Linked DNA regions of Mus musculus. The protein of the gene in region 4 interacts with the protein of the main gene of each other region in a pairwise test. Links are inferred from orthologs where the notes say so. Each region holds a gene or a part of one and is shown on either strand. Other genes may lie near its edges.

Evidence for each region.
Region 1: the proteins of Tfip11 (region 4) and Ccdc121 interact in binary tests that used the Homo sapiens proteins (3 or more experiments, as listed by UniProt). The two-hybrid records come from large-scale screens. The link is inferred for Mus musculus from reciprocal best matches to the Homo sapiens genes TFIP11 and CCDC121.
Region 2: the proteins of Tfip11 (region 4) and Abi2 interact in binary tests that used the Homo sapiens proteins (3 or more experiments, as listed by UniProt). The link is inferred for Mus musculus from reciprocal best matches to the Homo sapiens genes TFIP11 and ABI2.
Region 3: the proteins of Tfip11 (region 4) and Leng1 interact in binary tests that used the Homo sapiens proteins (3 or more experiments, as listed by UniProt). The link is inferred for Mus musculus from reciprocal best matches to the Homo sapiens genes TFIP11 and LENG1.
Region 5: the proteins of Tfip11 (region 4) and Bmf interact in binary tests that used the Homo sapiens proteins (3 or more experiments, as listed by UniProt). The two-hybrid records come from large-scale screens. The link is inferred for Mus musculus from reciprocal best matches to the Homo sapiens genes TFIP11 and BMF.
Region 6: the proteins of Tfip11 (region 4) and Zgpat interact in binary tests that used the Homo sapiens proteins (3 or more experiments, as listed by UniProt). The two-hybrid records come from large-scale screens. The link is inferred for Mus musculus from reciprocal best matches to the Homo sapiens genes TFIP11 and ZGPAT.
Region 7: the proteins of Tfip11 (region 4) and Gem interact in binary tests that used the Homo sapiens proteins (3 or more experiments, as listed by UniProt). The two-hybrid records come from large-scale screens. The link is inferred for Mus musculus from reciprocal best matches to the Homo sapiens genes TFIP11 and GEM.

The regions. Positions count from the first base shown.
Region 1 is NC_000067.6:181,509,102-181,512,936, reverse strand, and holds Ccdc121 (coiled-coil domain containing 121), read left to right. Parts: upstream 1-1,485; 5' UTR 1,486-1,551; coding exon 1,552-2,523; 3' UTR 2,524-3,304; downstream 3,305-3,835.
Region 2 is NC_000067.6:60,433,563-60,437,239, forward strand, and holds part of Abi2 (abl interactor 2), read left to right. Parts: intron 1-680; coding exon 681-848; intron 849-3,493; coding exon 3,494-3,670; intron 3,671-3,677. UniProt on the Homo sapiens protein: Regulator of actin cytoskeleton dynamics underlying cell motility and adhesion. Functions as a component of the WAVE complex, which activates actin nucleating machinery Arp2/3 to drive lamellipodia formation.
Region 3 is NC_000073.6:3,662,996-3,667,141, forward strand, and holds the start of Leng1 (leukocyte receptor cluster member 1 homolog), read right to left. Parts: upstream 2,846-4,146; 5' UTR 2,453-2,845; coding exon 2,321-2,452; intron 867-2,320; coding exon 687-866; intron 30-686; coding exon 1-29. Other genes in the region: Tmc4 (transmembrane channel-like protein 4), read right to left, coding at 2,945-3,013, 3,107-3,185, 3,824-3,979, 4,053-4,146.
Region 4 is NC_000071.6:112,324,991-112,329,287, forward strand, and holds the start of Tfip11 (tuftelin-interacting protein 11), read left to right. Parts: upstream 1-1,378; 5' UTR 1,379-1,483; intron 1,484-2,494; 5' UTR 2,495-2,680; intron 2,681-2,971; 5' UTR 2,972-2,980; coding exon 2,981-3,192; intron 3,193-4,297. UniProt on the Homo sapiens protein: Involved in pre-mRNA splicing, specifically in spliceosome disassembly during late-stage splicing events. Intron turnover seems to proceed through reactions in two lariat-intron associated complexes termed Intron Large (IL) and Intron Small (IS).
Region 5 is NC_000068.7:118,546,710-118,550,825, forward strand, and holds the start of Bmf (bcl-2-modifying factor), read right to left. Parts: upstream 2,978-4,116; 5' UTR 2,954-2,977; coding exon 2,831-2,953; intron 2,462-2,830; coding exon 2,332-2,461; intron 891-2,331; exon of another isoform or gene 672-890; coding exon of another isoform or gene 662-671; exon of another isoform or gene 585-661; intron 304-584; coding exon 7-303; intron 1-6. UniProt on the Homo sapiens protein: May play a role in apoptosis. Isoform 1 seems to be the main initiator.
Region 6 is NC_000068.7:181,364,072-181,368,315, forward strand, and holds the start of Zgpat (zinc finger CCCH-type with G patch domain-containing protein), read left to right. Parts: upstream 1-1,351; 5' UTR 1,352-1,600; coding exon 1,601-2,181; intron 2,182-4,244. Other genes in the region: Arfrp1 (ADP-ribosylation factor-related protein 1), read right to left, coding at 1-25, 240-327, 534-626. UniProt on the Homo sapiens protein: Transcription repressor that specifically binds the 5'-GGAG[GA]A[GA]A-3' consensus sequence. Represses transcription by recruiting the chromatin multiprotein complex NuRD to target promoters.
Region 7 is NC_000070.6:11,702,886-11,707,250, reverse strand, and holds the start of Gem (GTP-binding protein GEM), read right to left. Parts: upstream 2,805-4,365; 5' UTR 2,685-2,804; intron 1,347-2,684; 5' UTR 1,338-1,346; coding exon 1,010-1,337; intron 1-1,009. UniProt on the Homo sapiens protein: Could be a regulatory protein, possibly participating in receptor-mediated signal transduction at the plasma membrane. Has guanine nucleotide-binding activity but undetectable intrinsic GTPase activity.

The DNA.
Region 1 (3,835 bases), on a different chromosome or scaffold from region 4:
TCTGCAGCTGTCTCCAGCTAATCACCAGTGTGTGAGTCTGGCGGCCAGAGAACTCGATTGTACTGTCATGCTGAGGCTCTTTTGGTTTATTTGGGCTTTTTTTCGCAGCTGGCATCTGCGAAAGCCCATCTCCAACAGATGAGTTAGCACAATTATACCAGTTATGGGCACTCGTCTGTGTCTCACATCCTGAATCTCCAGGAAATCAAGGCAGAGCCTATAGAAGCAGAGCTATTACCCAACATGGGCATTGTGTCTTCTTATATTTAGATTTCATGGGGACAGTGATTATAGAAGCCCCGTGGTTTCATATCTTCAAGGCATCCGGCACAGGCTGAGTTCCAGCTTGGGGCCATGGGGTGAGGGGAGCTGTGGTGTGAGGGGATATGACCGCTGTGTTTGTCAAACTCTGATGGCAAGAATCATTGCATTAACCCCAGATCCCTCTTTCCTCTCCAAAACACCCAAATCAGAATCTCAAGGGAGCAGTCTGGGAAACCATCACTGGAAGAATCCTTGGGCAGTTAGGGAATCACTCTCTGGGAGAGTATAACAGTCTTGCCAAGGGAGCCAAAGGGGTCGGGGGTCAGGGGTCAGGGGTCAGGGGGCCCGACAGATCCAACTACCTATAGTCCTGGACGAAGATGTTACTTCTTAGAGCTTCCACATCCTTTCATGAACTCTAAGAGATCTTATCTGTATTCAAGGATTGAGACACTGAACAGCATACAGAAGACTCTGCAGTCGCCCTTAACTTTGGCCCCACTAGGAACTGGGTCTGCAGAAAGAGCCCCCGACACCCTGATGTAGACTATACACACCAAGAGAAGGCAGAAGACATGGACATTCCATGCACAGTCGATTGCCAGAGGCTGGGTAGGCCTTTTAGCCACCTTAGCATCTGAAGGACCCCCACTTAGGCTCAGAGCTTTCTGAGGATTGGACAGAGGGTTTCTTTGTGAGTGGGGAGAAGGCAATTAGCGGGTAGTCCTTAAAACTGCAGTCATATATCCACAGAAACCAATTCTCTGGACTCTTACCCCTGGTTCAGAAATCTTGAGTGATGATTGTCCTAAATCACCTTAGATGTTCTATATGGACTTTACTGGTGCTGGGTCATCGGTGCTCATACAGGCCTGGCCTAAAACCCCTCTCAGCTTCAGCCACCTCATGCACTGCGTGGTGAGGCCCGGACTTGGAATCCAGGCTGAGTATGTTGACAAACTCTAAAAGTCAAGCAGGTCTGTTTTCTCTACCCTCCTCGTTATGAAGGGAGGACATATGCTGTTCTGACACCTGTCTGGACTTCCTGGCACTGGTTTGGACAACAAACAGTGTGACTGTTTAACAAAAAGGAAAGAGAGTCAGAAAAGCCCTGGACAGCCTCTGACCTGCTCTGACTTCCTGGCAGGCTGAGTGTCGCTTGGTCGCCTTGACCACCAGAGGGAGAAACCTTGGGAACATTTGCTCAGGACTCTGTGCCCTGAAACAACAAACCACCATCCCATGCTCTCTTGCAGTCACTCTCCTTGACCTGGGGATTCAAGGAGTATGCTTGCCCAGAGCCCTGGAGATGCACCCCCGCCAACACCACACCTTACTATTCTAAATACATATCTCAAGCCAAAGTTGCTAACGAGCTTGGAGAAACGGGTAAAAAGGAAGACAGTGGTGGCGATGAAGGAGCTGAGCCAGCAAATCCAAGAAACCAAATGCCGGCGGGAAAGGCTGCTGAAGGACAGCAGGCAGCTACTAGAGGAAAAATACCGTGTGCAGGCTGAAAACCAGCTTTTCATGGAATACCTGCGTAAAAATAAGGAACAGTGTGAGAAGAAACAGGAGGAGCTGTGGAAGCAGTACGTCCAAGAATGTGGCGAGATAGAACGCGAGAGACAAGAATTGGCATCCAGATACAACCAGAGAAACGCAGCTCTTCAAGCCCAGCTCCTGCAGGGCAGAAAGACCCAGAAGGATTTGAAGCAGCAGTTGCAGGCACTGAAGCCAGTTTACAAGATAAAGGAGGGCCAGGACGTGAAAATACAGACCTTGGAGAAGGAGCAAGAGAAAGTCCGAAGTGAGACTGCGACCAAGGACCGGGAGGCGCACTTCCAGTTCCTGCGGGAAAAGGCACTGATGGAGAAGGAGCTGCAAGAGTGGCATCTGATGGAGCTGGGGCAGATCAACACCACGGGGCTTACGAGGAAGTACAAGGCCTTGGCGCTAGCAGCCAAGCAGGCTCATTCTGAGTTCTGTGGCAGTCTCCACAGGGAGAACCAGCAGCTACGCAAGGAGCTTCAGCAACTGAGCCAGGAGTACGGCAGGTTGGATGCTGTGAGGAGCCAGCTGGAAAAGCACCGGCAGCTGGCGAAGGAGCAGCAGTGGTACCTAGAAGCCTTGACCAGAGGGCGGCAGCGGCTGCAGGCAGAACGCGAGCGCCATCATCGTGGTCATAACCCACGCCTCAAGGAACAGAGAGCTTCAAAGACCATGCTGAGCACCAAATCAAAAGCAAGTTCAAAGTAACAGCTACTGCAACTGAATTGAGGCGCAGGGAATAATCTACAAGCCAAAAAGTATCCTTCGTGGAAAATAGAAACACACTTTCAGGAAGGGCAGTTGTTGCAGCATGGGGTCGTGCTCCTTGTCTGGGACCCACATCCTCACTGTCTGTGTCCCTGGGGCTGTTGTAGATTCCGGAGATTTAGAACACTTGGAAAACTTTTTAACGGGTTATACCACCCATTTTTATAGTAGCATTTGAAATTCTCAGAGTACCTAGTTAAGACATGTATTTTACCACACTTTTTTTTTCTTAATGTGTACTCTGCAGTCCACAAAGTATAGTGTATAGCTTACATGTTCTATGTATTTTGGGCCATTTGAAGCAAATAAGAATCTTATTTTAAATTGTAGGGGTTTGTTGGTTTAGAAGGGTTTCAGGTTTGCATTTGTGATGAACTGTTTTTGTTGAACTGTGGGCTCTGGTCTGGAAGAATAGCCTTGTTTTTGGGTCATGCCCCTGCATGGGGAAAAACATAGCCAGCTTCATGTTTCTCAGAAATTTTTGGCAATGAAAACTTCAAGGTAACTGTTTAGCTTTATTTATGTGTAAAACAGTTAAAAAAAAACAACAGGATTAAAGGGTAACTTAGCTTGTCAATGTGCCTTATCATCTACTTTTAACATTGTTGGCGAATATATATACTTTGCCATTAAACAGGGTTGTTAAAAACAAAATTTAACTGTAATTAGTTCTTAATGCTCCCCAGATTTATTAATGTAATAAAAATACTATATCCCTCAATATTTTATGGTATTATTGCCACCCCTTTGAAATGACAGAACATGCATGTGATGATGTACACCTGGTAAATAATGTAAGCATCCTGACTTGGGGTCAGGCCACTATGTCACTGGCTAACAGGTGGGTAGTGTATACAGCATGGACGCACTGGGCAAGGATGATTTGTGACCCTTATGTGATGCCAGCATGGTACAAGGTCTCACAACACTACTCAGACACACAAAATATATGAATTGCATTCTTCCAGAATTTTCCATTTTGTTTTGGACTGAAACTGAACACAGACAACTGAAAGGTAGAAAGGGACGCCGTGTGTCAGGGGAATTGTCACAGTGCCAATCCAGTCCCCCCATCTCCACTGCCACCCCTGCCTACTGTTTGTAAAGGAGAGTCCACAGACCAAAGGCTGTTATCTTTAAAGCATTCTTACACTTCATTCTTTTCTCATGGAATAAGTATTATAAGCTCACCTTGAGCTTCGAGGCCAACTTCAGATCTTTTTCCTTCGTGCCTAGAGCCATTTTTATGTTG
Region 2 (3,677 bases), on a different chromosome or scaffold from region 4:
CACAGAATCTTCCTGTAGGTGGCAAAATAAAATATGTTGGTCTGCAGTAACCTGGAAAATAGTCATTTGGTTACTTCTTGCTGCATAATCCCTGTTTTTCAAATAAGGCTTCTGGGTTGTGGAAGTTGTGAGATAGGTGCTACTGACTGCTAAGAAAGGGCCGACATTGGCAATTTCTACCCCATAAGGCTGTCTCTTAAATGACATGAGAACAGAGTAGCCTCGCATTTTAATTTTATAATTATTTTTATTATCAGACATTTTATTTATCATTATTAATACTTTGATCAAACACATTTTGTGTGTGAGAATAAAAGGAAATCAAGAGAAAGTAGAATAAGTATTTGTGCATTCATGTCAGTGCTGCCGAAGGAGTTAAATTGGGAAGATGTGTATGTGCTGTCATTGCTCAAAGTATACACTGGAACTCAGATTTTAAATACTAGCTTTAGAACTTTATTTGTACTTACATAAAAATGTATATATAAAAATGTATAGTTATCTTGAAAATATCAGTGAGCTCATTAAATCATTTAGTTTTGGAATTGTGTAACAATGATGTTTTTCAGAATATTTTAAACTTGGTATAGGTTTAGTAGCATTGTGGTTTAAATGACTAAGTTAGTTTGCTAGAAGTTAATTATCTTTAAATTGAAGGTCACTATTTTCCTCCTTCACAGTCACCAGATAAGCAGCGAGCCCTAGAAGAAACCAAAGCCTACACCACTCAATCCTTAGCAAGTGTTGCGTATCTGATAAACACCTTGGCCAACAATGTCCTACAGATGCTGGATATCCAGGCATCACAGTTACGGAGGATGGAGTCTTCAATCAACCATATTTCACAAGTGAGACCATGTTCAGTTTGTTTGCCTATGAGCAACACACAGCTTGTTGACTTGCCTTTGTTGTGCAGGTTAATGTGCATGTATTTGCAACATATTAACTTAGTATTGCATTGTTTATGATTCTTTTTGTGATGTTATCTTTTTTAATTTAATTTTTTAATATATTGTTTTACTTACTCACTTTATGTCCTGCTGTGATGTTATTATCTTTATAGTTTGACAGAAAAGTAAATTTTGATGGATTTTATTAAAACTCAGTTGCCACAGTCACATAATCACTCCTGAAGTGAAAAATTATTTTGGTATTTTATTTTATTTTTGGTTTTTTTGAGACAGGGTTTTTCTGTGTCACTCTGGCTGTCCTTGAACTCACGGAGATCCACCTGCCTCTTTGTCCTGAGTGCTGGAATTAAAAAGAAGTGCACCACTACCACCCAGGTTTTTTTTTTTTTTTTTTTTTTTTGACAGATTTTTGTTTGTTTGTTTGTTTGTTTGGTGTCTTTATTGCCTTAAAAATAATGATTTGATAGCTTGGTGGCTAATTTAATTTTTTTCTCCTGTCAGTAGGCTTTTAAAATTCCCCTTTGGTGGTTTAGTCAGTGTTTTATTCCTGTGAGAATAGTGTCTCATGTTGAGCACAGCAATTCTTATAAAGGGAAGCATTTGATTGGAGCTGGCTTACAGTTCAGAGGTTTAGTCTTTTATCACCATGGTGGGAAGTACAGTGGCAGACAGTCAGACATAGTGCTGGAGAGTAGCTATGAGCTCTGTATCCAGATAATAATGAAAAGTAGTTAATGACACTAAATATCTGTTCTTTGGCAGTGTCTTAGAGATCCACTGTAATGAGGCCCCATGACCCAAAGCAACTTGGGGAGGGAAGGATTTATTTTACTTATACTTACTTATCTCAGTTCATCATTGGAGACAGAGCAAGAACTCAAACGCTGGGGCAGAGGCTTAGAGGGGAGCTGCTTACTGACTTGCTCCTCTTGGCTTGCTCAGCCTGCTTTCTTATAGAACCCAGGACGTGGCAACAGCCCGATCTTACGGAGACATTTTCCTCAATTGCGGTTGCCTTCTCTCAGATGACTTCAGCTTATGTCAAGTTAACATAAAGTCTAGCCAGTGTAGGCAGTCACAGTTGTTACTTGAGTAAGTAATGCAAGAAACTAGTTAGAAGTTTTTCTAGATCTCTGGTATTTGATCTTGGCAATTCTACCCTCAGGGAGATGCTTGGCAACATTAGACAGTTTGGCTTATTTCAGAGTGGGGAAGTATTATAGGTTATGTCTACCCATCACAGCACAGTAACGGATATGACTCAAGTTTGACTCAAGTCAGTTATCTTTCTGTTGTATTGCCTTAAAAATATTTGTTACTTATAGATTACAAAATTATAACTTATGTGAAATGCTATATTAGTGTTTCATGAGAAATGTATTATTTGTTAGCAAATAATTAAAGAATATAAATAAAAATATTATTTGTACTATGAATGTGAGCACTTGATAAATTCTAATGAAATATGTGATCAATGTTGTGTTAATAAGATGTAAGCAACTTGCTGAAGCTAACAAGCTTTTCTGTCAAATGATGGTTTTGAAGGGAGGAGGTGGATGCTGGGAATTACGTCAGGGACTTGTAAATGTTAGGCAAATGGTATACTCCCTCACTCTACCCCTTGATCCCCATTTGTAATATTTATATTTTAGTCTTGTTCCTTCTTTGTAGTATTTAAATAATATTAGATTATACTAATATGTTTTTTAAAAATATAACAAGACTATTCTCTGCTGTTTCTTTGTTTTTTGTTTTTATTGTTTGTTTTTTGAGATAGGGTCCCTCCACATAGTCCTGGCTGTCTTTGAACTCTCTATGTAGAGCAGGCAAGCTGGCCTCAAACTTAAAAGATCTATCTGCCTCAGCCTCTTAAGTGCTGGAATTAAAGTCATTTACCACCATGCCTGGCTTCTTATTTTATTTATATTAATTTATTTATTTTTCTTTTCTGTTGAAAATGATCACTCTGGCTTGGAGAAATGATTCAGTTGCTCCAGTCTTTGCTGCACATCCATAAGGCCTTGAGTTCTGTCCCCAAGCCCATGGAAAAAGATGGGTGTAGTGTGCACTTGGAATCTTCATGCCAGGCGGCAGAAACAAACAGGTGCCTGGGACTAGGTGGTCAGCCAGCTCAGACACATTAGTAAGACCTGTGTCCTAGTGGGAGACTCAAATAAACAAGGGAGGCAGCTTATGGAAAATGATACTCAAAGTGGACCTCTGGTTTCCATATGCACAAGCATGTATATACATATGTACACCCCTTCCATGTGAACACACACACTAGCACCTATATGTGTGTACATATTTGTATAGGTATTTGTGCAGACATGTACACATGCACATTCTAAGTTCTGCTCTTGTGGGCTGTAAAAATCAGGTGATGTTCCAGGTTATATTTGAAGGCATGCTTTGGTGACCCTTGCATTAGGTTAAAAATGAATAAAGACAATAGTCTAGAGAAAAGGTGGTTTATGAAATGAATACGAAGGATTGTTGAATCTCTAGGCATTTGGTTATTATTTATTTGGATACCAGGGCTATCTGTCTTTGTGTTGTCTTATTTATATTATATCTTACAGACAGTTGATATTCATAAAGAGAAGGTTGCAAGAAGAGAAATTGGTATTTTGACCACCAATAAAAACACTTCAAGGACCCATAAGATTATTGCGCCAGCCAACCTTGAGCGGCCAGTTCGTTATATTCGAAAACCTATTGACTACACAATTTTAGATGACATTGGACATGGAGTGAAGGTAGGTG
Region 3 (4,146 bases), on a different chromosome or scaffold from region 4:
AGGATACCTAGTGCTTTCTCTTGTCTCTCCTGCAGAGGCAAGAAAACAAAATAGTCTTTTCAGTCCCTCTGGGAGCCCTAGATGTGGCAATAGAAAAACCCAGGGCTCAAATTTCTGGAGACGGGGACTGGTAGACAGTCATTTAACAAGGGAGATCAGAAGACCATTCAGGAAGCACCAGGGGCTTATCTGCAGGAGGAGGAAGAAAGAGAGGCTGCGGCCTGTGCAGTAGTGAAGATGGGAGAAGCTTTGGGAACAGTTTAAGGAAAAACCTGCAGAAAAGCAAAGTGGAGGAGTGATTTTTCAGTGGGAGATAGCACCTTCAAAGTTCGACGAGAGAGAGGAGAGCCACAGTACAAGTCAGTTTGAAAAGCACAAATGCTGTCTGGAGATGAGTGCCTATGATCCCAACACTTGGCTCAGGAGGCCAAGGCAGGGGGATTGAGAATTGGAAAGCACCCCTGGTCTGTGTAGTTGTGACCTCATCTCAAAAATAAAATAGCTTAAGACTTTTTTTAGTCCCATGGGAAAAGGTTAGCCAGTTTAAGTGCTGTACAGCAGTAACCAACTTACAGGTAATATCTCTCAGTCATATTCTAAAAATTTTAGAGTGCTTATCACCATATCCTAACAGTCACAGCCAGTCCCCACCCCCATGATTCCACCAAAAAATGAGGCCAACTTACCTTTTCCCGTCGCTTCTCTTCCTCATGCTCTTTATTGCCTCTGGGAACTCCTTTCCTTTCTTCCAGCAGCTCCCTAAACAGGTCCACAGGGCCAGAACTTGGAGCTCCTGGGTCTGCTGCTTCCAGCTCAGGCACTGAGTTTCGTTGCCTGGCTTTCTTCCGTAGGAATTCCGTACGGGCCTATGAAGGGTTATAGGGAAGACATTCAGAACCCAGAAGTGCTGAGGATACAAGAATGGTCCATGGGCAGGGAGGGCAGTGGTAGCACACACCTTTGAACCTAGCATTCAGGAGACAGAGGCACATGGATCTCTGAATTCAAGGCCAGCATGGTCTACAGAGTGAGTTAGTTCCAGGACTACACAGAAAAATCCTGTCTTGAAAAGAGGGGGTGGGGGTGGGGCAAATATTGAGAGCAAGAAGAGATACCATTTCTAACTTGGAGTGGAGAATCGATGTTTTTAGACAGTAAACTGGGCTATCAGAGATAGTTCAGAGAAGATCCCTGACCTAAAACAGAAGGCTTCCCAGTCTCAAGTGATGCAAGGAAAACCCACTCAGGTATAGGTATAGGTGGCTTGTTCAGCCATAGAGCCCCTGCCTTGTGTGTAGTTCCAAATTCAGTCCCCAACACAAGTATGTATATACTCCCAAACTTGTAAGGTAATCAAATATTGCTTTCTGGACAAAGGATCTAAATCCAAGGTATGGCTCCAGGTCACCACTCCAAGTACAACCTGACCCCAGATAGGGATGGTCTCTGATTCACAATTCTCCCCTTTCTGCAGCCTTAGTATCTGGGATTAATTACAAGCGTCACCTTTTTGTTTGTTTGTTTTGTTTTGTTTTGTTTTTTAAGACAGGGTTTTTCTGTGTAGCCCTGGCTGTCCTGGAACTCACTTTGTAGACCAGGCTGGCCTCAGAAATCCACCTGCCTCTGCCTCCCAGGTGCTGGGATCAAAGGCGTGCGCCACCGCCACTACCCGGCTTTTTTTTTTTTTTTTAAGCCCACACTAATTCATGATCAGATTGGCCAAGGGACTTAAGTGTAAACCAAACTAATCGAGTAACTTAGAGTCTGTGATGTGTGTGTGGTCTTCAATACTAGCGTTCAAGTGGAACAGGCAAGCTGAGTTCAAGACCAGCCTGGTCTACGTAGCCAGTTCCATAACAGCCACGGCTACACAGACCCTGTTCCAAATAAAACCTCCAGATGCTCTTTTCTTGGCAAGCAATGAGGGAGGGAGAAAAGACATGCCCAACGAAGTGGACCCCGGCTTGTCCGCCCTTTGCCCTCCTTGCTGAAGCCGTTGTACTCAGAGCAAGGTGACCGCACCCCTCCAAGTTGTTCTAAGAGGGAATTTCTCAAAGCAAGCGCTCAGAAGGAAGGGAGCATACACAGAGTGGGTGATCAGTAATTAACTTGTGCGGGCAACCTATAAAGTAATCAGAATATTTGTCCAACTCTTCCAGTATGCTAGTCTCTGGTCCCTCAACACCAGTGGGGAAATCTAGGAAGGTTTCTTGGAAGTTAGCACAGGATTTTCAGAGAAACATCGTCGAACACACAGACCCGCTCCCGGCACCGAGTGATAGCTAGGCCCGCCGCGCTTCTGGGCGGTCCCCAGGCTTACCTCTTGCTGGGCGAGCAGCACCCTCCGCTCCCGCTCCTTCTCCTCCTCCCGGGCCTGGGCCTCGTCGCGCCGCACGCGGGCAACATTGTCCTTGTTCCGGACGTGCCAGCTCTTCTTCGGCAAGATATTCATGGCTCCAGTGCCGACCTCGGACTGTCAGGCCCACTCTTCAGCACTTCCGATTGGCTCGAGGATGCTCCCGCCCCATGGTTCCACCCTTGCTCGTGCATTGGTTCTGGGCCAATTGTCACGTCCCATCCTAGCCTTGTTTAGAGATTATTGGCTGAGAGCCTTCCATCTCAGCCAATCCTAAGCATTTGTAACCTGAGTTGCTCCACCCCCGGACGCTGCTTGATGAGGCTGTTGCCTGTCTATTCCTTTAAGCAGACATAACCTAGCTCTTCAGGCCGATTTGGACCTGGCCCCTCCCCAAACCCCGTCCGAGGCTTCAGAACGGGGTTTCAAAACGCAAAGCGGCCTTGACTGTTGTTTATTAATACGGTTCAATTGAGAGTGTAGCATTCGGGTGGCAGAGGGCGGGGAATTTGGTTCCAGAGATGAAAGAGTCCCATCACTTGATATGAAGTCACTGAAGCTGAGGGGCTGAAGGTTCAGCCAGACTTATCAGGAAGTTCCATTCCTTGAGCTCAGAGCCACAGCTCGCTGGGCCAGGAAGACTTTATTCTGCACTTCCTGCGGGCAAAAAGGAGCGAAAGTGAAGCACACCTTTTCATTCTTCTTTCATAGTCTCATAGAGCCCTTTCCGGGGAAATCAGCCTGGCTCACCGTCTCTATCTGGCGTTTGAGCTCAGAGATGAGGCGTCCGTAACAGTTAGCCAGGGCTACGGTATACATCATCAGGATGCTATGGAAGACAGGAATGAAAATCACTCTAGAAAAACAATCATCTTCATCATATGGCTCCTTAGAAACCAGGCTGGAGAGATGGCTCGTAACCGGAGCACTGGCTGCACTTCCAAAGGACCGGGGTTCAATTCCCAGCCCCACATGGCAGCTTACAATTGTAACTCAAGTTCGTTACTTCACACAGACAGTCACACTGTCCAAATACCAACACACATAAAAATTAAATGAATAAGTAAATTAAAGAAACCAATATCAGGATCCTCAAATCCCTTAAAACCCTTTTTGAGACTCTGAACACAAGTCTTTATCCTCTCTCTTTAGACCCAAAAGTTCAGACCCTTTAACCAGAGGTTAAACTAGAGGTTCAGGCTCCATACCTCCTCCCCCTTCATCAAATCGATAAATCCACACCCTAGCCCTCCTTTCCTCAGACCAGGAATCCAAACCCAGATGTCTTTTCTTAGACCCTAAGCATTCACACTCCGACTCTCCTGCTCTTGATTTATAGGCATCCCGGCCAGCCCCACGTCTCTGTTGTATATAGGCACCCAGCCCACCTCTCTAGCACTCAGGTGCCCAGAAACTCCTTTCTCTTTCAAACACTAAATTACACACATTCAAAGTCTGACTGCTCACCTAGAGAGGATCAGAAGAGGTACAGTAAAAGCTTGGGTTCCCAGAAAGTAGAGAAAATTCTGGGCAGTCTGAGGGAGGCTCTCAATGGCCTCAGGGATCTGGGCCCAAATGGACAGCTTCCCGCGGAACGGGCCACACAGTTTCGAAGGTGGGATCCTGTAGGGGGAGACACACTGGATTCAGTCAAGTCGAGCTAGAGTGAGAACAAACAGAAGTCTCTCGTACTTACAGGAAGATACTGTAAAGCACGGGAACTGCAGAGATCGCCAGACCCACAAGGAGAACCAGGGGGAAAAAGAAGTTTGCCGTGGATGCTCGGAAGG
Region 4 (4,297 bases):
CCGGCAGCTATGAGTTACAACTTGCCTGCCGTTCCCGCCCCCACCCCCAACCCTGGCCCCACTGCCCGCCCTCAGCTCTCTGTATCAGTTCTTAGATGCTTTCATTCACGTGACCATAAAACCCCAAGAAGGGACCCTGATCCCACAGTATCACATTGGCTCTGACGGACTCCCCAAGAGCCTCACTAACAAATCCTCCTGCATGTTTTTTGGTTAGGTTTTATTGCTGTATTGTAAAGACCATACCCAAGAGCAATTTGGGAAGGAAACTGATTTATTTGCTTTACAGATTACAGTCCAAAGACATTTTTAAAAAGAACTGAAGTAGAAGCCACGGAGGGAACGCTGCTTATTGGCTTGCTCCCTGTGCTTACAGCACCCAGGACCACAGGGGGAGGCCCCACCCACAATGGGCTGGGCCGTCCCACATCAATCATGAATCAAGCAAACGACACCAGTCTTGCCTACAGGCCATCCGATGGAAGCACCGAGTCCTTTTCCTAGATATCTCTAGTGTGTATCAAGCTGACAGGGGAAAACAAAAATAAGTCCAGCCAACAACAAAACCCACCAGGACCCAGCCTTTTAGGGTATTAGAGAAAACAAATTAGTTTCAGAACCAGAGATGGCACCAGACTATGTATAGATTTGTAAGATGTGTAAAAAGATGACATATGCTCTTTGTGGGTCGCGTTGGCACACGCCTTTAAGGCCAGCACTCAGGAGGCAGAGGCAGGCAGATCTCCCGAGTTCGAGGCTAACCTGGTCTACACAATGAGTTCCAGGACAGTCAGGGCTACACAGAGAAACCCTGTCTTTCTTTCTTTCTTTTTTTTGGGGGTGGGGGGTTTCGAGACAGGGTTTCTCTGTGTAGCCCTGGTTGTCCTGGAACTCACTTTGTATGTAGACCAGGCTGGCCTCGAACTCAGAAATCCACCTGTCTCTGCCTCCTAAGTGCTGGGATTAAAGGCGTGCGCCACCACGGCAGGATGAGAAACCCTGTCTTGAAAATTCACAAAACCAAAACCAAATCAAACCAACAAGAAACCCCAACTCCGTTCTTTCCCAGCGACAGAGAAATAACTAGAGCAAAGAGGAGAACAATAAAACTGCTTCCTGGAGAGAACTCGACATGGGGTCGCGAGGACATTTTAATCTCTCAGTGTCCTCGTGACGCTGGTAACGCCAAGTAAGACTCCAGTGCCTGGCGACGGCTCGCCCTGGAACGAGACGGCCACTCAGCCTCAGTTCCGATGGGAACCAGAAGCAGCGCGAGGCGGGATCACCGGCCCTTCCGGGTTGCAGACACGCCCCCTCCGGCGTGAAGTCGCTGCCGGGGCAACAGCGCGCCACTTCCGCCTCTGAGCGATGACGTATTTCCGATGCGCCGGTAAAGGCCACATCCGGGTTTGGGCTGGCGGGACCCTCGCAGATTCGGGGACGCTGGGCGAAGGCTGTGTGGCTCTCGCGGATGCTGAGCGAGGTGAGCAGGCGGCGGGGTGGCGTCCCGGGAGCGCGGGCTGAGGCTCCGAGGCTCCGTGACGACGGCTTTACGGTTTCCCTGCGCTCCGGGCCCGCTGCTGACATTGAGCTGAGCGTCTCCTGTCCCCTGTGCTGGGGAGGTGGCGGTGCTGTAATTGAGTGGGCCTAGGGCTTCCTGCTCCTTTGAGGAAACTCAACATGTGCTGGTTGCTGGGGTCGGAACCTGTTGAGTTTCGCCGGTGCATAGTGAGGAGGAGGAGGAGGAGGAGCAGCGGGGGGGGGGGGGAGCTGTTAGTCACCGCGGAGCCGTTTTCACGCTGTCAGTCACTGGTGTCACATAGTGAGGATGTTACTGTGCAATGCACACAGTGTCGGGTCGGGACCTTTGAATGTGATAACCACACTCACAGGTGTTCATAGAGGCGCGATTTAGACTCAGGCTGGGGTGTTAAGTGTTAATGATTTTCACAATCATTTTGAAGGATTCACTTCGCAGTCCTGACTTGTAATGAGTGTGAACCTGAAACCCGATCATGGAGTGGAAGAAGATGCTTTTTTTTTTTTTTCCTTTTTCCTCCCTTTCCCCCCGTTTCTGTTTTTTGTTTGTTTGTTTGTTTTGTTTTTTGTTTTTGTTTTCAAGACAGAATTTCTCTTTAGCAGCCAGCCCTGGCTGCCCTGGAATTTGCTTTGTAGACCAGGCTGGCTTTGAACTCAGACCCCCCTGGTCTCTGCCTCCCTACTGCTAGAGTCAAAGATGTAAGGGTGCTGTTTCTTGAGCACCTACTGGGAGCGGAGCTTTCGTTGTTGTTTTGTCGGTTTTGAGACCAGGCTGGCTTTGAACTTAGAGAGATGGATCTGCCTCTCTGCCTCCAAAGTGTTGGAGCTTTTGTTTTTCGAAAGTATCATCTTAATCAGTCCTTACAAGCTTCTCCTGGAACTGAATGAATGCAGTTATGAGAGAGAGAGATGAATAGCTACCTGGGTAGAACACTGTTTTTTCCCTACCCTCTAGGAGTGACTGCAAAGTGGCATTCAGAAAGACTGCAACCTTCCAGTACCGTAGAAGCCGTTCAGGGAAGGAAACCTTCAGTCCCGTGGAAATAGTATTTCAGAAAATGCTCTGAAGTTTCCCTGGAACTGCAAATTGGCTAGATACAACTTTTCCTGGAGAAGTAAAAAGACCAACCTGGTTTCTGAGGTAATAACATTTAGAGCTGTTGCTTCCTTTCTGTGGCATATGTGCCTGTCATTCTGTGGCCCCGCCCCACGCGTGCATGGTGATTGACTCTGACAAGGCATTGTGCGTTAGGCCCCCTTCGGATGGCTGGGTCTGACTTGTCTCACTTGTCACGGAGCTGGTCATTTTGCCCTTTGTTTAATGGCTGCTTTACTGAGTTGGATCATGAGGCTCATTAATAGCTTTTTGACACTGGCGGATCTTCTGCTAGCCCCAGGTTCTCACAGTGCTGTTCTTGTCACCGTCCTCTAGTGACTGGCCATGTCTCTGTCCCACTTGTACCGGGATGGCGAAGGCCACCTTGATGATGACGATGACGATGAGAGGGAGAACTTTGAGATCACCGACTGGGATCTCCAGAATGAGTTCAACCCCAACCGGCAGCGCCATTGGCAGACCAAAGAGGAGGCCACCTACGGGGTGTGGGCGGAGCGAGACTCGGACGAGGAGAGGCCCAGCTTTGGAGGCAAAAGGTACTGTGTGCTGGGCTGCATGCCCTGGGTCTGGAGGATCGGGAAGGCATCCCAGAAGAGTTTTCTGCCCTTGTAGAGTCCGGGTGCTACAGCATCTTGCTATGTGTTGTTGAGCTGGGGTGGCGAGCTCCCCCTCAGCAGTTACTGTGTGATGGGATCAGGGCTACTTATGGATAGGGAAGTGCTGACCCACCACAGGCATGGCAGCTGTGGGGCCATGCTGTGTCAGGGAGCACTCACAGGGCACTAGAGAACAGGGAGTTTAGAGAGGGTGCTCTGGAGAAAACGCTGTTGGACCAAACGGAGGTAGAAAAGTGAGTAGGTCCACAGGGGAGAGTGGTAGTACAGCCTGGGGTCCACATTAAGATGCTGTCTCAAGTCTCCCCACCTAACTACACTCAGAATGTTTTGATTAATTTTACTTAGGATTTTTATCTGTTTGAGTTGTTCTGACTTTTATCCTTGAAATAGTATCTAAAACAAACACTGTGTGTGTGTGTGTGTGTGTGTGTGTGTGTGTGTGTGTGTTTACAGGCATGCTAGATAAGTGCTGTACCACTCTAAAGCAAAGCAGACACTAAGCTAACACAGTCTTTTCAGTTGTAAAAGGGGGCCCAGTTTGATGCCTCGGAGGTTGTTGCCATGCACACCTGGCTAGCTGGGTTCAGTCACCAGATTCCTACAGGGAAGGGGAAAGGGACGAGATGCTCTACAAATTGTCTGCACAGAGCAATAATGGCATTTTTGAAAGCGTCCAAAGGAAGTAAGATTATTACATCCTAGTCTGAATTTATACTCAACCCTACTGACAGTGGCAAATCTTCAGTTATAGTTTGAATCGAACAGACCCCACGAGTGTAAAATGTGGGCTGGAAGAGGACCCAGGAGCAATTGAGATTGAACTCAATTGCTATTGCAGACCTGAGTGTGGCTCCCAGCCAGTGCCCACCTCAGGCAGCTCACAAGTGCCTCTAATTCCATCTTCAGGGAATCGAGCCTTTGGCTCATCGGGCACCCACAGTGTCATGTGGTTAGGCCCCCCCCCCATATAATATTTTTTAAATGTTAAATGTAAGATTATTGAGGGCCTCTCTCTCTAAGGAAT
Region 5 (4,116 bases), on a different chromosome or scaffold from region 4:
ACTCACCGTAAAAGAGTCTCTGGGGTTCCTCTGTCACCCCACAAGGCAGCATGACACCCTGGCTTGGGGAAGCTGGACTGAGGGTCTGAGTGGCCTTGTCTTCCTGGCTTATGGGCCGGAGTCCGGGACCACAGCAATGGGTGAGAGGGAAGAGCTGGAGTCGACTGAGGGGACAGTCCAGCTGGCTCTGGGCAAACAGGTCAGCAGAGAGCAAGCCCCCAGGCTGTGTCCCTGGCTCCCCATCCTCTGACTGGAACACATCATCTTCTAGCTCCTCCACACACTGAGGTGGCTCCATCTCTCCTGTCAGAGAACAATGGAAGCATCTGGGCTGCTGTCCTACTGAGGCCAGACCTAGGATTCCCCTCCCCTCCTTCCTTCCCCCCTCACCCCCCACCCCTGCTCTTCTTATGTGAGGGAACCAAGCCAACTTCTGATGATACACAACCCTGGTAATAAAACACCACCAAGGGTGACATTCACCCCCAAAATGTGGCCTCTATGGTCAGGGCCCCTCCATGCCTTTTCTCTGTACCTGCCAGAGCCACCCTCCCCCCATCCCCCACCCCACCCCCTCCTCTGACCTAGGCTGGTCACAAAGTTTGACACTGAGGATTTGCGAGCAACAGCAAGGGTAGGATCAGGTGCTACCACCGGGTACCTGGGGACATAGAAGCAAGACTAGCCTCTGTAAGTGGCTGTGGAGGCTCAGAAGGGGACACTTACTGACTATACAAAAGTGCACAACATACTTATGTGCACACACACACACACACACACACACACTTCCTAAGCAGGAACCTCCAGGCTCTCGGCGAAGTCTGAACTCCAGGCTAAGCAGCAAAAACAAGAGCCAGGAATTGTAGAGCAGCCAGGTTCCCTCCTAACGTGCTAAGCCCCACCCTGCTGCACATCTCCACCCCCTCCTTGCACAACACAACAAACAGGCTCTGTGGTGTGGTGAGTGTGTCCTGGAACAGGGGACGTAACTTAGTCACTCCAGCTGGCCAGCTGGCTTAGCTCCCGTCCAGAGGAGCAAAGCTGCCTGCTCACCACAGGTTAATCTGGAGGGTTGAATCGGCCTCTAGCAAAGTGTCCAGCTAATTCTACTCGCTAATCTTCGTGACTTCCAATTCTCATCCACTCAGCCTCCCATTCCTGCCAGAGCTGAACCTGAGATAGGTGCAAAGTGCCTCGCAGAAGGAAGTGAAATTCAGCCCTCCTGCTGAGCGCTCTCTCCCTGCCTACACAGTGGGGCTGTTTCTTAGTGTTAAGTTCCTCTCGCTCCACCTGACAGCTCATGAAATTCTGCACTTGGAGTCACCCGGCAGCTTGAACTTCCAAGCTGACCTCGCCTGAGTTAGGGCCCCTGGGGCAACCAGAAGCATCAACAAGCACCTGAATGGTTAAGGAGATGCAAGGACAAATTTTGTCATCATCAGACTGCTGGGGATTCCAGGGAGTTCCGATCCCCACTTTATTGCCTTTGAAAGACAAGCCAAGTAGTTTGTGGGGCTAAGTCTTTACAGAAATCTCAGTTAGGTTCAGAAACCTTACTTTCCCAAATGCAAGCTCTGTGAGGTTCTTACTTCAACCCTCAAGCCTTACCCCATCCCACCCCTGAGCTATCCGTAGTCCTGTGCCCTCTTCCCTGGAGAATGACTCCATGCCTGCTATTGTTCCGATAGGAAAGGGGTAACTCCAGCGTAAAGTTTCCAGATGAAAGGACCAAGAGATGTCACCTAGCAGTGCTTCTTCTGTCCTTCAACCTCTTCTTTGCAGTGTGGCTATCCCAACCAAAGTAGGGACTCTCCAGAGCCAATCACAAGCAGGAGTCATTGTCTTGGTGTTTCTTTTGAAGCCTATCACTCCCCTCCCCCTCCCAGCAAAGCCCCAAAGTTCAACCCTTGCCTAGACTGGACAGTGGGGGAGGTGCAGCCAGAGGGTGTGGCTCTGAAAACGCGGAGGACCCCCCCCCACTTTGCACAAGAACTGCAGGTGGCTCTCCAGTTAGTGTGAACCTCGGAGGGGCTCTGGGCAAAGTCAAAAGTAAACTGGGGAAGAGTGGAGACCCTCAGCTTCCCTGAGCTAAAGTGGTAAAGTCCAGACTGATAGGAAGAGGGCACTTCCTGAGAGCACCGCCAGGGAATGCTTTATTCCTAGCAAAGGTCTTAAAGTCCGCTGGAGCCATCGCAGAACTTCGGCGATCCAACTAGGATGCTCAATATAAACTCCTCCTCTTAGGAGTTAGCACTAGCCAGATACCTTGAACTCAATAGTGGCTAAGATCTCAGGACACACGCGCACGCACATGCACACACGCACACACACCTGGGTGACTCCAGGACAGCGTCTCAGCCTCCGAGTTGTGATGCCAGGGCTCTGCGCCAGGGTCCAGGGTGAAGAACACTCGGGGGGCTTGGTGCCCACACTCGATTGGGAAGAAGGGGGCAAACTCCAGCTGTTAAGAAGAGGAGCCTTCAGACTCCGCAGGGAGGCAAAATGCACCACAACTTACGGCCCCACCCCACAGTTACACCCGGAGGCCAGAGCGTCCGGGAGCTTGGCAGTGGACCCCAGGATCATTTGCTCACCTACTTTTAACTCCGAATTCCAAATGCTTCCCGAAAGCCCCTCTTGGAGCAGCAACCACAAATTTGTGCTCTGCACCTCGTTCCCACATCCCTGCACCCCAACTCCCCGTGGTCACCCCAGATGCCCGCAGTCCAAACCCTTCCCCGGGCCCCCACGCGCTGCGCGACTCCGCTCCCCACTTCCCGGAGGAGGTACGATCCAACTCCGCCTAGCCCCCCGCCGCCCGGGCGCTCACCGGGCTGCGGTGGGAGGCGGTGGCGCGGGCTGCGGCAGCGACTGCTGCAGGCGCGAGCTGGCGCGGGAGGAGGCCACGGCACACCGCGCGGTATTGTTTCCAAAATACGCCCGCTCCGGGCATCCCGCAAACAGCTGATGAGGCCCCGCCCCTCTTTGCGTCACTCCAACCACTGACCAATGGCAAGTGGAGGTCCAAGTCTCAAGCTGGGCAGCTGCCAGGGACAATCACCAATGTACAAACCTTCCCTTGGAAACATTATAAGGGGCCGGGCGCATTTCTGACCTCCGTCAGAAGCGCAATTGGAGCGCTGTAGAGGGTGAGGATTCGGTTCCTAATGCAAGCCCCAGAAACGACAGAGAGTCCCTAGGTTTTCTACTAGGTAGTGGGGGGACAAGACGCCTAAGTGACTTTTGTCTACTTGGAAATGGGCTGAGTTATTGCAGGACTTCCAAAAAGCCGGCTCAGGAGGAGACTGGGAGTTTTCAGACGCGCCTTGTAATATATAGCGGAAAAAAAAAAAAACCGAGCTGCTGGTCCCTAATAAAAAAAAAGCAAAACAAATAAAAAACCAAAACAAAAAACTGCCCTCTTTCCTGTTGGGCGTGTCTGAGGAAAGCTGGAGGAGAACACGTGTGTCTGCATCTAGAACCAAATGACATTCGGATCCATCAAGTGCAAAGAAAGGCCATGTCCTCTCTTCTAGACTGTGGAAGATCACTGTTGAAAAAAGGACTCTAGCAGAGGGGAAATCAAAGGGGTAGCTCGGACAGCCCTATCTATGGCAGCAGCAGAAGGCTGTTCTTGGACTGCTAAGAAAGCAAAACGCATCTCGTGTACTATGGCCAATCTAGGGATGACTCCACATTTTTTTGAACACCTACTATGTGCCAGGTCCTGGTCTAAGTGCTAGACTTCTGGTGCCTGACCTCAATGAACCGATACTTCACATGTGAATGATGGAAACCAGCTTGAATGGTGCTATTTTAGGGATAATAAGCAAAGATTTTTGAGTCGGGCCTTGAAGAATGGGGAATATTTCACTAAATAAAAACCAAATAAAACAGTCCTGACCCAGAGAGGTCAGGGAGCTAGAATAAAGTACTTAACATGTCTGGAAAGCAAGATCAGCTGCACGCCCCCCCCGTCCCCCCTCCCCCCCATCAAGCTCTCTGGCATCTTCACTATGATTTAGGATGTGAGGGTATGGGCAGGTAGATTCAGGTCAGATTGCAGAGGTGCCCCCTGGAATACCAGGCTGAGGAGTCTGTATTTTTTAAAAGTAA
Region 6 (4,244 bases), on a different chromosome or scaffold from region 4:
GCCTTTCCCACGTCCACAGTGCCAACTGGAAAGAGTACAGAAAGAGCTAGCTCCTGACCTTTACACACAAGGTTCCAGCTCTCCCCAGGATGGGACAAACCATTCTGGTACCAATCCTAGGGAACTTGAACACAGAATAGAAAGACAGGGTTTTGACCACTGGTCAGCTGGGTTGTGGACCTTACAGCATCCATCTCTAAGGGACCTCCTAAGATCATATCCCTAAGGTGCCCCCTTACTGTTTAGACCCACGGTAGTGGTGATTTTGGATAGACTCATCCCCTTGTAGTTCTTGTTAAAGCGTGTTTTTGACTGTTCCAGGAAAGTCTGAGGAAAAAAAGAGAGGGGGTTAGATAGCAGCAGCTAGAGTAGTTTTCTGGTGTCCTTCCCACCTATCCCTTCACACCCATGCAGCCATGCACGCCTCTGCCTGTGGCTTGATCTTCAGGAGGCTGGTGACTACTAACCTGTAGCCTTGGGGCGGGGGTTAGATCAGGCAGGGAATGGGAACTGGTGAGAGAGCAGGGACCTACCGTCTTCCCAGCATTGTCCAGGCCCAGGATCAGGATGCAGTATTCATCCTTCTGGAACATGTACTTGTACAATCCCGAAAGCAGCGTGTACATCCTGTTCTGGCACCCTGAGAGATGTCAATGTGTGTACCGGGGGCATCGGCCTCCTGCCCTGCCCGCTTCATCAGCGGTCCGCCTCTCCTGCTAGTTTTCAAATGTGTAGCCTCGCGGATCCTGACTCTTCGCCCCCATCCCGCCTCTTCTGTTAAAATCCCTGACCCTGATTCCCCCGATGCCATCGCTGACCACGTGCTAGACCTGGGCCACTCCCACTTAATGTCATCTTTCATAATGCACCATCAATTCGGAGTCCTGAAAAGCCCGTGGCGGCCTGCTCTGCTCCGCCTTCCTAAGGCTCCTCTTTCCGAACCCTCAACTCAGAACCAGGAAACGCGGCCGGCGACTTAAGTCTAGGAAGCGACCAGAGAGGCAGAGCTCCTGAGGAGGGTCGGCTTCGGCTTCCCGCCGCCGCCGGGCCCACGGAGCCTGGGAACCAGCAGCTGAAGCCACTTCCGTCCCCCTGTTCCAGGACTTTAGAACCCCGGCCCCTCAGTCCAGCTGAGGCCCACCCGTACCTGCTCAGATCTTGGAGGAGGAGCCGCCGCCGCCGCCGCCGCCGCCGCCGCGTTCCTAACCCCACCGACCTCACGCTGACCCCTCACAGTGCCTGACGGAACAAGGAGCGAAGGACGGAGCACGGGCGGAATCGCATCCCAGCGGCCCCCGCGCGCAGGTACTTCCGGCAGCTTCGGCTCTCCGGCGGAAGTGCCCGGCGGAGGGCAGAAGGCTAGCGCGTGAGCTTGGCTGGCGAGGGCGGAAGCCCTTCTAGCCTGCGAGCGCCGGCCGGAGGTGGGGTTGCGGGCCGCAGAGGACGGGGCGGGTGACGTGCAGGTCCCCCTCGGCGGAACCGCGGCCCTCCTCAGGCTCCCTAGCGGTTTTGGGGGCGGCGTTGCCCTGAGTTGTTCTTACTGCTCTTCCTCCTGTTTTTGTCTGCGGTAAAGGTTCCGAATCCTGCCTGCTGGGTCGGGATGGACGAGGACAACCTAGAGACTGCCCTGCAGACCTACCGGGCCCAGCTGCAGCAGGTAGAGCTGGCGCTCGGTGCTGGCCTAGACGCTTCTGAGCAGGCGGACCTGCGTCAGCTGCAGGGCGATCTAAAGGAGCTGATTGAGCTCACCGAGGCCAGCCTGTTGTCGGTCAGAAAGAGCAAGCTGCTGTCTACAGTGGACCAGGAGAGCCCAGCTCAAGAGGATGCTGAGTACCTGGCTTTCCAGAAGGCCATTGCGGAGGAAGTGGAAGCGCCCGGCGCCCCCTGCAATGACTCGGAGACGGCCCCTGGGAGCGAGGTGCAGCCGGGATCCACCTCCTCTGCACTGGAGGAGGAGGAGGAGGACCCAGATCTGGAGGAACTGAGCGGTGCTAAAGTGAATGCCCCCTACTACAGCGCTTGGGGCACGCTGGAGTATCACAACGCTATGGTAGTGGGCGCCGAAGAGGCGGAGGATGGTTCTGCGTGCGTCCGAGTCCTCTACCTATACCCTACCCACAAGTCCCTGAAGCCCTGTCCGTTCTTCCTGGAGGGAAAGTGCCGGTTCAAGGAGAACTGCAGGTAAAACCCTCTGCTGCTAGCAATGAAGGGCACGCAGTCGGGACCACCGCTGTGGCCTGTCGCCACAACTAGTTTGGCACCCAGCAGAGTTGGTAATAGAGTCCAAACCTTAGGTGACTGACAGGCTTTTACAGAAGTGTTCTCCGTGTGTTTACTTAGATTTTTCTTGCATACATCAAGAAGTTTGAAAGAGCTTATGTTGAAAAGATAGGGCAATCCTTCATCAATATTCTTCTCCAAGGTGTAAAACTTTTTTTTTCCCCTTTGAGATAGCAGTGTAGTAACTCTCGATGTCCTTGAATTCTTGATCCGTCAGCAACTCTACTACATCCTGAACGCCTTCAGTTTCCAAATGCTAGGATTACAGGTGGAGGCCACCACTTCTACTGGGCTACATCTCCAGCTCGGAACCTTTTTTCTTTTTTTCTCTTTTTAAAAATTTATTGACTATGCTGAGGATGGAATTAGGGCCTCCAGCACACCAGGCAACCAACTACTGTACACCTTAGCCCCATCCCAGCTCCTGTAGTTTGCATAGTCTTACAGAAAATTTCAAACACATAATCTCTTGCTGACTTGCCCTACCTTCCCCCCCACCCCCCGTGCTACTTGAAAGCACCTTTCACAAGTTACATCTTTTTCTCTCACCCTCAAATACTTCAGAATGTAGCTGAAATAATAATTACTAAAACTGATTTATGTCTTTTTTTTTTTTTAACTCAGTCATCCAGAATAACCCTCTAGTACTTTGAATTTATTTATTTTAGGCCACTAAAATAAAAAGATTTGTTCTATTATAATGGTAGTAGTGAACTAAAATTAGTTTCACTTGGCAGGATTTTAGGCAGGGCTAGAGCCTTGGAAGTCTGAGGGCAGAATCCAGAACCCATTTCTTTGTCCATTTTTCTTTAAGGTTGTTATTATTATTTTATTTTGATTTTTAAAAAAATATATTTTAAAGATTTATTTATTTTGCTGGGCATTGGTGGCGCACACCTTTGATCCCAGCACTTGGGAGGCAGAGGCAAGCAGATTTCTGAGTTCGAGGACAGCCTGGTCTACAGAGTGAGTTCCAGGACAGCCAGGGCTACACAGAAAAACCCTGTCTGGAAAAACCAAAAAAAAAAAAAAAATTATTTATGTATGTGAGCACACTGTTGCTCTCTTCAGACACATGAGAGGAGGGCATCAGCTCTCATTGCAGATGGTTGTGAGCCACCATGTGGTTGCTGGGAATTGAACTCAATACCTCTGGAAGAGCAGTCAGTGCTCTTAACCACTGAGCCATCCCTCCAGCCCCTTATTTTGACTTATTTATTTTTTACTTTTTTAATGTTTTTCTCTAAAGATCCATCGGTTGCTTTTGTCTCATTTTGTTTTGGTAAGGTGGTTTGATACATGGTCTCTATGTAATCCTGGCTGTCCTGGACTACATACAGCTATGAAAGGCCTTGGCTGGCCTTGAACTCACTACCGAAAGGCTGGGATTAAAAGTTTGCACCATGGCCTGACTATTTTAGGCTTTTTTGAGACAGAGTTTCTCTAGTAGTCCTGGTGGATTTCCTGGAACTTACTATATAGATCTGGCTAGCCTGGAACTCAGAGGCATGCACTACCATTTCTGGCTAAGATATATTTTTAGTTAGTGTGTTTGTGTGTGTGTGTGTGTGTACGTGTGTACGTGTGTACGTGTGTACAGGTGCCAGAAGAGGGTATAGGATCTCCTAGAGCTGGCGTTCCAGGTGGTGGTGGTGACCTGCCGAACATAGATCCTGGAAAACAAACTCAGGACTTCTACAAGAGCAGTATCCTCTCAGCCACTGAGCCATTTCTCTAGCTCTATGTATTTACATTTATCTTTAGATTGCGGTGGGGGTGGGGCATGTGTACAGGTAGGTGCCCAAGAAAGCTAGAAGAAGGTGTTGGATCTCCTAAAGCTGGAATTGCTCACAGAAAACATTAACCACTGAGCTCTCTCTCCAGTCCCCAGAGACCACCCATATTCCCTGTTTTGTGGCATCCTCGAATCACTTTAGGCTCTTCTTTCCATGTTACATCTGTAC
Region 7 (4,365 bases), on a different chromosome or scaffold from region 4:
AATGAGACGCCACTAAGCCATCTTTCCCGAGCTTACTCCTCTCATTTTAACTGAAAGTGGGGACAGACACTGAACAATCCTCCCTCCATTTCTACAGCTGTAATTAGGGGGTGCAGCTGTTCCAGGTACATATACTGATGTTGGAGCTCTAGCTGAAGGACATTGTATGACAACAACTGGCTACCCAGTTGTAATTTCCACCCCAGAATATTAAAAAGCTACCACCTGTTGTTGTGTATGTATGTTTGTACAAAGTGGGTCTAGAAATAGGTAAGAATTAAATAAATAAATCCTGGAAATAGGTCATATACAGAAAATCATCTGGAGACCTGTCAGGCTCTATGCAGGGCATTTATCACCATCTTCATAGCTCAGTTTTTTAAGTTATTATGCTACTTCAAGTACAGCATTTGACCTACTTACACTTGCAAATGCTTCTAATGTTAGTGGAAGCACACTAATCGATCCACTCTAGCAGGTTTCTTTCCCTTCCAAATCGGTTCGGTTTTATGCATAGTCACAGAAAACGTTCCAGTAGTGAACTCTCCAAAACCAGTCCAGGGTCAAGTCAGCCTTCTTGGACCCCTCAGACCTGACCTTCAGAAAGCCCCTTGATAACTTGGGTCAACAGATTTGGTCCTGCGTACATGTATTCCTCCTGTCTTGTCTTTTTTTGTGCTTGAGGCTTTGTGCCAGCAGTTAGGCCTCTGTCACCATCTCAGTATTGAGAAGGTATAGGTTCTCCTAATCCTAAAGATACATTTTGTTTCAATTTGTTGTTTTTTTTTTTTTTTTTTGAGACAGAATCACATAGCCCAGGTTAGCCTCAAACTCTTTTTGTATCTGAAGATGACCTTGAGTTCCTAGCCCTTCTGCTTCTTCCTTCCTGGTGCTGGGATTGCAAGTGTGTACCATTATGCCTGGCTCCCAATTCTGCAGAAAAAATGACCCACTCCCTCTCACTCTTTCTGCTTACAAGACAGAAGCCCACCGGGGCTGGGCCACCTACCTCCCAAGACCTCACAGTCGCTGTCCATGCTGTCATGCACACCTGCAAAGATGTTGGCCAGGGTGGACTTGCCCACTCCTTGCTCCCCTATAAGCACTACTCGGTAGTAGGTGTTTCCAGACTCAGAAGAGATGACCGAGTCTGTGGAGTCGGACGACCAGCTCCGCCGGCAGTGCTCTTCCGGAGCAGTAGAGTGGCGGTTTCGGAGGTTGCAGGGGTGGGGATCCTTCTGGACCATCAGATGCCTGGCATCAGCAGGGATACTCCAGCGCTGCTGTGGCTGCATGCCCACAGTGCCTTGGCGCATGGTGACATTATTCAGAGTCATTGCGGGATCCTAGGAATCAGAGCAGTAAAGATGGCAATATGATTAAGAATGAGCCAGGCCCAGGGGCGCTCAACACAGTTGTCTTTGGTGCTTCATTTGATGGGTATGAATTCTTAATGTAAGAATCAACCACTAAACTGTCCCTAAGCCTAGAAAGCAAAATTTTCAACAACAACAACAACACACACACACACACTCAGTAACTAGCTTCTCAATCAGGCTGTCGTTTGTAGTAGCAGTAACACCATCCATCCATTGCCCATAAGCTCCCTCTGTCCTTAAAGGAGCTTTGGAAATCCCACCGGGAGTTGGCACAGAGGCAGCTGGAAGGAACCCATTGCCTCCAGAAATGACATTACCATCAGCAACAAGTTAGAGCTGCTGGGCACCAGCTGGCCAGGTTAACTGTTCTTGTCTAAACATGGCTCTTAATTGCCCCCGCATCCTGCAGTCTTGAGCCTCAGTGGGAAACACGCGGCAATGACATCACTCCCCTGGCTGGACTGGACAGGCACTTTGGGGGAACTTCCATGTTTAGTAAGGTTGCCCTGATGTCCTCCAGCTGCCTGACTGAAGAGGCCGTTATTTGGGGAGTGGGACAGTTTCTGTTTGAGTGCTATGCCTCAGCTCTACCCTCTTATCTACAGAAACTGTTTAGCGTAGCAGCCCTGAGGCTGGTTCTTCTGAGAGGGGAAGGACCTGCTCACATTCAGACACATCACACTTGTACAAAAAGGGCTTCATTCTTAAGGAACGTCGTCCACTCCATGATTTTTTTACTGTATATAATTATTTATTTTAAAAATTGCACCTTTCTGACGTAAATTAGAAGATCAGAGACTCAGTGAAAAGCCACTCAACAACTTCCTACAACTTTTTCCTTGCAAGACTGCCTTGCCTGACAGGCAGTCTGTTCTGCCAAGACTGCCCGAGATAACCGCTCTATGGTTTTTAACTCAGCAAGCTCCCCGCGTGAGCGCAAGGATCACGCTCAGCTCACACACCCTACTCCATACATCACACCTATGCCACGATCCAGAACCAGCCGGTTTCTTTTTAAGTCTTAAAAACAGTCCCTGGGTTGACAGACTTGCGACAGCAGACCTTGAAGTCTGCCGCCTGGCCACCTAATCTGTAAGGTGACACTCCTCCGAAATTGAATTTAGAAACCCCCATCAGAAGCGCATCCTTTGCGCCTGAACTTCTTTCTCCCACGGCAGAACCCCCGGTACAGACCTAGGGAGTCTAGGGACTGGCTGCCTTCCTAACTTAAAAAGTTCGGAGACCAGGAACGCCCCTTCCCACAGAGGCTCCCACTGGGACTGCCCCTCAGCCATGGCCCCTTACTTGGCTGCACTGGGCGCTGGGTGGGCGTCTGCCGTCGATCCGCCTGCTGCAACGCCTGACGTCTGCGATGCGGGCTCCGCAGTCCGAGGCTGTGTGATGTCCGCTGGCAGTGCCGCCTCCTGAAGCCTCCGCTGCCCGCCGCCGTTTATAGCGCGCCCGGCAGCCCCGCGACGGGGCTTTTCCGTGACGTCAGCGCTCCCGCCGGGAGGGGGCGGCTCTGCAGCAAACTGAGTTGCAGCCACTTGGCTAAATCAGTTACTCGTAGTCATGTGACTCCCCTATCCCCTTGAGGGGAGTGAGGGAGAAAAAAAATGACAGTTCAATCGTTGATTTTGTTTTATTTTCTTTTTATCAGGTGGACACTGGAAAAATACACTTAGTGCTACTTAATCGCCCTTCCCAGCAGAGCACTTGTAAGCTGTCTGAATAAAGGATGAGGAAAGAAACAGGCCCAAGCCGCGAGTCCAGCTTTGCCAAGAAAACAGATCCGTCTGAGTGAGCGGGACTCCGGCCTCCAGGATGAGGCTACAGCCACCCTGAGTGGACAGACCACCTTCAGAGCATGCTCTGAGAAGCAACCAGGCCCTTCCTGCTTCCTGACTTCTTATCTCTGACTTGGGACATACTGCTTTGTTTCCTTCTTCTGGAAGAGATCCAAAAGAGAAGAGTCGGAGGAAAGAGTAGGGGATCTTGAAAAGGGGCAGGTTGGCTCCAAGCAGCTTGTGCTAAACACTGCCATCCCCCTGTTTTGGCCACAATGCTGAATCTCCTCCATCAGAAATTTAATCACACCCCAATCAGCGCATCTCAGAACCGAGCTGCTCAGCATGGCTGGAACTTTGGCCTAGAGCCAGGACTTCCCAGCCATGGGGAGATACAAGGAGGCTCAATCCCCTGAGAGAGCCCTACTGCTTCTATCATTTGCTAAGATTTGCAAAGACCTGTGGTTCTGGTGGGCCTGGAGAACCTTGCCCTTACTACAGTTGTGGATTGAGAACAAGAGGCCCTGCAATGAAACCTGCCTTAAGTACATTTTAAACTGCACTGCTAAGTGACCTCTTCCCCAGGACATGGGTATTTCCCGGGGACGTGGGCATTTCCCACATGCTGTGTTTAGAGTCCATGCTAGCCTTTCCAACACATCCATCTGCTTCTCCAGCCAGCTTCTGCTGTGGGTTGGCTGGCGGCCCCTCGGGAAGCAGCCAGCACCAGTGTCTATTGGAGTGGCTGGGCTGCTCTGTGGTTACAACGGTGTCACGAAGGCATCTATGCGATTTGGGAATTATCCAAGTGACCAGCTGCACCTCAGGTCTGTCAGGGACCAAGCTGGCAAAGGTAGAATCCACCAAATAAGAAAGATGGAGAGTGCCTTAGTCTCAAAGGCAGAGCCCCAAATTTATTTATGCACAAGGAAGATAAGAGCCAGAGCCAGAATAGACTATAGTTTGGCCACTCAGGAAGACTTTAGGTGGCCAAACTAAAGTCTATTCTGGGTACCATAAAGCTCTGGATACGGCTCTTCACCAGCCACGTTTTTCCTCAATGTTAACACGGTGGGAAGGGACACGGATGTAGAAAGAAAATGAGGAAAAAGGACTGGGGGGGGGGGGGAGAAGAAAGATGGAAACAATGAGGGAGATGATGGAGAAGGAAGGAGGGGCAGGGAGACAACTACCCAACT